Linked DNA regions of Coturnix japonica. Each later gene encodes a partner of the first gene's protein in a complex. Links are inferred from orthologs where the notes say so. Each region holds a gene or a part of one and is shown in the gene's direction. Other genes may lie near its edges. The genes, in order: NCF2 and RAC2.

Region 1 (3,721 bases):
TTTCTGCAAAGCAACCCAAATCCTCCAGATTATGACAGATTTCTTTCTGTCTTCTTCACAGGCCTCTGGGCCTCCACCCAGGCCCAAGACACCAGAAATCCTCAGGTAGGTTGGATGAAACATTGGCAGCATTGCAAACATGTGCAGCCTGGTGCAGCCGTGTCCTGCACCATCCAGCTGAGTGTTCAGAACCAGTGGGGGGAAAGGAGGAGAGAAACAAAGGAGCAGAGTTTAGGCCCCCCTATGAGGTAGAACAGTAGCATCACCCCCTGCTCCTGACATGATGCTGGCTTCCATTCCCAGGGCTCTTGAAGGGCAGCCACACCGTGTCCTGTATGAGTTCATCCCTGAAACTGCTGAGGAGCTGCAGGTCCTGCCAGGAAACATCGTCTTTGTCCTGAAGAAAGAGAAGGACAACTGGGCTACGGTGATGTTCAATGGGAAGGTAGGGGGTCTGCCTGGCACAAAAGGGAGATTTACAGAGGCCTGGAAGGAGTTTCTGAACCCAGTTTCCTTGCATCCCCTATTTGAGGGGCTATGAGCTGGTAGAGGCAACCTCCTGGTGTCCTGCTCCTGTTGCTCCTACCAGGCAGGGGCCAGATGTGCTGCTTTGTTTGCCTGACCACATGTGCTCAAGGCAATAAAGTGAGCTGGTTCACCCTTGCTGCCCATCTTGGGGTGCCATACAGAAATCATTCCTTCAATCTCCTGGACGGTCGACTAACACCATCTGTTCCCTTTGTCTCTTCCCTGCAGAAAGGGATCGTCCCCTGCAACTTCCTTGAGCCCATGGAGCTCCAGCACAAGCTGCACGTCCAGGTAAGGAGCCCAGGAGGAGCTGGTGGCCCCAGGAAACCACATAGATCACCCAGCAGGATCCATGCCTGCAAATCTCTCTTACAATGCTGTGGGACTCCTGGCTCATGGCTATCTCATGGCTACTGCCCTGTTCCACCCCAAATCAATGGACAGCAGGCAAAGCTTAGCCCCAGGACTCCTGCCTTGAGTAGCAGGACGGGGTCCCCAAGGCAGCAGCACCCCTGGGCTGTGCCTGCTCCCCTTAGGGATGCTGACTGCCTGCACTGTCCTTTTCACACTGGCACAGGAGGAGGCCCCTCCCGAGCCCGACATCCCTGAGCCACCCAGCAGCACCGCTCCAAGGCCCCGGCGGCCAGCACCAGGTCAGTGTATGGAGGGGAGGGATGGGGGAACTGCAGGGACAGTCTCTTGTGTACTGTGATATGGAGAACCAGGGCTGGGGGCCATCTCTGCCTCTTTTATAGCGTGGGTTTAAATCAGGAGGCAATGCTGCAGCTGCAGCACCGAGGATGGAACAACAACAAAGCTCGAGGTCCCCTTTTTGCTCTTAATTAGGGCAGCAGCTAATGGGAAAAAGGGCCTGGGGAAAACAACAGGGCAAGTGACCCAGCTTGCATAAGTCCCAGAGCACAACATGCATTACAGGCTTCTCCATACAGCAGGGCAGCTGGGAGCTACGACTGCGCTGGGAAGATGTGCTGCTGGTGCTTCTCAGCACCTGGGGTAGGGCTGGGGCCAGAAGCAACTATATGACAGAGGGCAAGATACATTGTTGTTTGTGCTTTTTGTGCTTGCAAATGCATCAGTAACATCAAAGCCCACAGAGGAACAGCATCGCACCTAAAGCTCCAATCCCTACAAACACTGAACAGGCCCTACATTGTGAGCACAGTGACCACCTGAAACAACAGCAGGCAAGGCAGAGCCCTGGCCTCTTTGTGGTTACTGAGGAACCCCACAGAAGAACCTCACTGTAGCTGATACTGATCTGTTTGGGCAACCACAGCCGGCTCCAGGGCTGGGTGGTGCTACAGATAACAGCAGGTGTTGAAGAGAAGGGCTGAGAGGATCTGGAATCACATTTATGCCCACAGCAGTAAAGCTTACACTGTGCTCCACTTGTTGACCCATCTTTTCCTTCCTCCTCAGATTTCATTCCTGTTACATCAGCGCAGCAGAGAGAAGCCAATAAGGTAAGACCTTGTGCTGCAGTGAAAAGGTAGAGCCCAGATCCACATCACATACAGCTTGGGAGAGAAGCCTGATGCCCCAATTCACCACCTGCAGGAAACCGAACCGGCTGTCCCCAAGCCCTATATTGTCAAGGTGCATTACAAATACACGGTTGCCATGCAAGTCAAACCAGACCTGTCCTACAAGGAGCTCCTGGGCCTCATTTGTGACAAGCTGGAGCTGCAACCTGAGCACACAATGCTGAGGTGAGAACTGTCTGCTGCAGGAGTCAAGTTTTCGTGGCTCTCCCCTTACCTGTGTCCTCTGGTGCCCAGGTACAAGTCTGCAGTCAGCAAAGAGCTGGTGACTCTGAGCATGCAGAACCTGGAGGCAGCTTGGAGCCACAGCAAGGATCAGTGCCTGACAGTGTGGTGTGACTGCACAGAGGTGGGTGGCAGCACCAGCCACCAGCTCTTCTACTGGTGCCGGCAAGGGGCTCAATGGCAGAGGATGAAGCCTAAGCAGAGCTTATCTGCCATGATCTGGAACAAAGCAGAAGCCGCATGGTGACTTCACCAGCTTCTTTCCTGCCCTAGGGAGAGGGATTTTTACCTGACAGCAAACCAGAGGAGCCACAGAAGGCAACAGCAGAGACAGGACCAAGCCAAGTGGTAGCACAGTACAGTTATGAGGCCACCCAACCCGAAGACCTGGAGTTTCAGGCAGGAGATGTGATACTTGTTTTATCCAAAGGTAATGGTGCTCCTGCCACTGTGGGAGAGGGGAGGCTATTGTCATGGTTTTGTAATGTTACATTGCTATTTTCCTGCAGATGATCTTAACGTTCTGATCTGAGGCCTGCCTGCAGCACAAGAGGGTAATGGTGCTCCTGCACATCCCTAGGGTGACAAAAATGGCATCAATTTTATCTTGCAGTGAACGAAGACTGGTTGGAAGGGCAATGCAATGGAAAGATCGGCATCTTCCCCTCTGCTTTTGTTCGAGATGGTAACACTAAAGACCCAGAAATGTGATTTCAGAAGAGTTTAAGGAGACTGAAAGAAATTAAGAATTCAAGTGCTGCAAATAAGAAGTTCCCATGTTAATTACTGCATCTGAAAACAGACCTAAAAGTGCAAAAGCAGGAAAATAAAACATCTTTGCAATTTATTTCATTTTCTTTCAAATTGGAAAATAAAATAAAACTTTAAACCTTCTTTCAATTTTCTCCAGAAAAATAATGTAATAATGTGTTTTTCAAAGCCCGCAGCTCAGTTACATGGGGGGAAATAAACGTAACCACACAGACCTGGATGAAGAGAACATGGTTTAATTAAAGGCAAAGCTGATTTCAGCAGCTGCAGTTCTTGCACAGACAGACAAATAACACAAAAAAAGCTTACGACACAAACCAGTTTCTGTTGGGGTCCCTTCCCTCGCTCCCCCAGGCACCGGAGGGCAGGATGGGGGTCCCAGCCCAGAGCCGGCCGTGTTCCTGACACCGGGTTCTCATGCACAAGTGGAGCGGTGCGCTGGGACCTGGCACTGCCAGGAGTGAGGTGGTGAACCTGGGTCAGCTCGCTGAGGGTGCAAGAGTCAGCGGCAGTTCAAACACTGGAATGTCGCAGCTGCCGGGGTGCACAGCTCAATACACAAACTGAGGGGGCTGGGATAGGGGTGGGGAAAGGGGGGTAGGGGAGGGGGGGGCTGAGTCAATATTAGCATTGGG
Region 2 (3,154 bases), on another chromosome or scaffold:
CTCATCAGCTACACCACCAATGCCTTCCCAGGAGAATACATCCCCACTGTGTGAGTGACACATCTGCAGTCTGGGGGTGGGTGGGAGGCACGGAAAGCAGGTTATAAAGGAATGCTGTCGTGAACCCCCATACCAGTAGAGGAAGAGAAGCCAAACCAACATGACTTCAGATTGTCATTCACCTTTCACCAAAAGCACTTAGAAAACCAAAGTATAAATGGAACACTTGGAAAACATTAATTAACCCAAGGGTCTACATGCCTGCCAAGTTTACAAGTAGCAGATGGAGTCTACTCCATCTACTCACCTCCTTGGGAGTGGCTGTGAAATGGCCATGTGTTTGTGGACTGCACAACATTTCTCCTCATGCCTGAGACTTGTGGTTGGAGATGATGAAAGGAGGCCATTTTGTGCTCCTTGCAGTAAGGCTTATCTCACAATGGCAGCGTGTGTCATGAGCAAGTTCAAAAAGTCTTTTCATTGCTTCCTTCCTGTCACTGGTTTCCCTTATGAAACATGAAAAAATACACCAGAAACAACAGAAAAGAATCTGCCTCTTGTCATGAGATGTGCAGAGTAAAAAATTTTGCCTCATCCCTCTTCTACTTTTTGAGCCTCAGAATATGTCTCTGCATTTCAGGTTTGATAACTATTCTGCCAATGTGATGGTTGACAGCAAGCCTGTAAATCTGGGGCTTTGGGATACTGCTGGACAAGAGGATTACGACAGGCTGAGGCCACTCTCTTACCCACAGACGGTGGGTCATACTCCACGCTCCTACTCTGGTTCTCCTTCAGATGTATTTCCTTTCCCTGCTGCAAAATCAACTTTTGCCAGACAGCAATGATAGGATTGTTCCCTTCTTTCTTTGCCCTCTTCTGAGAATCCCTATGTTGATATACAATACCTGGAAATCCTAAAGGTTAAAGATATCAAAGGGTGTTTTGAAGCCCTCATCTACACTTCATTACTGAGAAGCAAGGAAACTGGGATCCTCAAAGACACTTATGAGTCCAGCTGACGCTGGTTTTAATGTGGGATAGCTGCTTTATACAACCCTGAGAAACAGAAGCCCTTCTTAAGAAGTTAAAGTGGATGAAGGAATTTAGGAGCAGAGGCAGGAGCTTTCCACATTCCTGTAAACTCCTATTCTGGCTTCTGACCTTTAAAAGAGTCAAGATTTATAAACATGTATTTGATCTGCTGATGCCTCAGCTAAGTCCAGTATTCTAGCAGAACAAATGGGTGATCCTCCCCACCTTCCCTGGAGGGTATTTTTCTTAGAAGTCTCTTGGAAAGCACCGAAAGAATCTGCTGCCTCAAGCATTGGTTTGAAGGTTGCCATTGCAACCAAAAGGGCTGGAATTGAGGCACTGTTTGTTCCCGCTATGTTTAGCTGCATGAGAGTTAGATACTTTATGTATGCTGCCTGCCTGAACTCCTTCTGCAGACAGTGCAAGCACGCCTATTTCTCAACAGCATACTGGTAGCTAGCGTAGGACATGTGCCAAGTCTAGGTGGGTAACACTCTTCTGAGGTGCTTGTCTCTGGTGGCTGTAGTACAGTGGCAGAGGGCAGAATGGGCCTGGCACTCCTGATTGAGATAGCTGAATTTGGATGAAATAAATATAACTCTGATAAGCTGCTTTGGCTTTTTTTTATTTTCAATTGAAGCCTAAATTCTGCCATGCCCAGAAGTGCTTATCCATACTCTGCCTCTTTTGCCTCCTACATGTACACTTTTGGGGTTGAATGTCATTTTGTCTCAACAGCAGGCAATGACAACTATATGGTATTCTTTGAGAAATGAACTGGACACTATCAGACTGTTTCCCATACGAATGAATATGCTTACCACAAAAACCCTATCCTCATAGCTAAACGCTTGTCTCTTCTGATAGTGGTGGCTATGGTTACCATGAGTCAGGAGACTAAATATTCTTCCCTCCCCTAGAGGCAATCAACAGCAGTCTGAACAGTGTCAGATGGTGAGAGACAGCTTTCCCCAGCATGACCCATTTTGGTGCCCACCCAGTTCTGCTCACCCCTCCCTGCCTCCCGTATATTCATTCTAACTATGTACCATGGTTGCATGCCTACAGGATGTCTTCCTGATCTGCTTCTCCCTTGTCAGCCCAGCATCTTATGAAAACGTCCGTGCTAAGGTGAGACAGAGCATCTTTGTCCAATAGTGGGTGAGGAGAGTGAGTTTGGTGTTGGTCTTGCAAAGAGTTGACTGTGGATGGAGACTACTAAGGGGATGTCCAGAGCTAGAGGGGTAATATTGTTTTCTGCATATGTTAGAAGAAATTGGATGTCAGCCTGCTTTTCTGGGTCACCTCAAAGAAGGTGGCCAACCCCACTGAAGAGTTATTATTCTCCTTGATGGGCTACTCTGTGTGAGACCACAGGCTTACGTTCTGATGGCACCTTTCATCCAGTACTGTCCATAGGATATGAAGAGCTGGTGTCCACATCCTTTGTATAGGAAGTGAGGAAGGAAGGAGAGTTGGAGAAAAATGTAGTGTTTCCTTCCTACAACTCCCAGGTTCCTCCCTGGGTTTCAGAAAGCTGTGAGGGACGGAGAATTGCTTATGCTTTCCTTAGTAGATTGTATTTAGCACTGTCTCTCCTTTCACTTCTCACTATTCCCCTGCACTGTTGTCTGAGTTCCTGAGGAATTCAACCTGTGCTTTGAGTTCCATGTTTTTAGACCCAGGAAAAGGGGCTAGTCTGAGCCAGGCTGTAGTGCCCAACACTCAACAGAAGGGCATCATGGAAGAACAAAGTGTCCTGTTAACGTTTTTTAAGGGTGCCCCTTTATTTCACCCATGCATGTTCTCTCTTGTCTCTGCAATTTTGCTCCCTCCTTAGTGGTTCCCCGAGGTGCGGCACCATTGCCCCAGCACTCCCATCATTTTAGTGGGCACAAAGCTGGATCTTCGTGATGACAAAGACACCATTGAGAAGCTGAAGGAGAAGAAGCTGACTCCTATTACATATCCTCAGGGTCTTGCCTTGGCCAAGGAAATCGGTAGGTACTTGCAGGCATCACTGAAAAAAGAGAGGCAGAAGATAAGGGCTTCCACTCAACCTTATGAGGCTTCCTTAGAAGTATATCTGAAGAACAGGGGTCATGGGGCAAAACCCACT

What was found.
Region 2: NCF2 (region 1) and RAC2 share a complex: the UniProt entries of both Homo sapiens proteins name them as parts of the phagocyte NADPH oxidase complex. The link is inferred for Coturnix japonica from reciprocal best matches to the Homo sapiens genes NCF2 and RAC2.

The regions. Positions count from the first base shown.
Region 1 is NC_029523.1:4,321,212-4,324,932, forward strand, and holds the end of NCF2 (neutrophil cytosol factor 2), read left to right. Parts: intron 1-61; coding exon 62-105; intron 106-303; coding exon 304-445; intron 446-756; coding exon 757-819; intron 820-1,105; coding exon 1,106-1,181; intron 1,182-1,968; coding exon 1,969-2,012; intron 2,013-2,106; coding exon 2,107-2,258; intron 2,259-2,327; coding exon 2,328-2,439; intron 2,440-2,588; coding exon 2,589-2,745; intron 2,746-2,824; coding exon of another isoform or gene 2,825-2,847; exon of another isoform or gene 2,848-2,928; coding exon 2,929-3,026; 3' UTR 3,027-3,209; downstream 3,210-3,721. UniProt on the Homo sapiens protein: Subunit of the phagocyte NADPH oxidase complex that mediates the transfer of electrons from cytosolic NADPH to O2 to produce the superoxide anion (O2(-)).
Region 2 is NC_029516.1:46,924,243-46,927,396, forward strand, and holds part of RAC2 (ras-related C3 botulinum toxin substrate 2), read left to right. Parts: coding exon 1-50; intron 51-640; coding exon 641-758; intron 759-2,103; coding exon 2,104-2,166; intron 2,167-2,875; coding exon 2,876-3,035; coding exon of another isoform or gene 3,036-3,039; intron 3,040-3,154. UniProt on the Homo sapiens protein: Plasma membrane-associated small GTPase which cycles between an active GTP-bound and inactive GDP-bound state.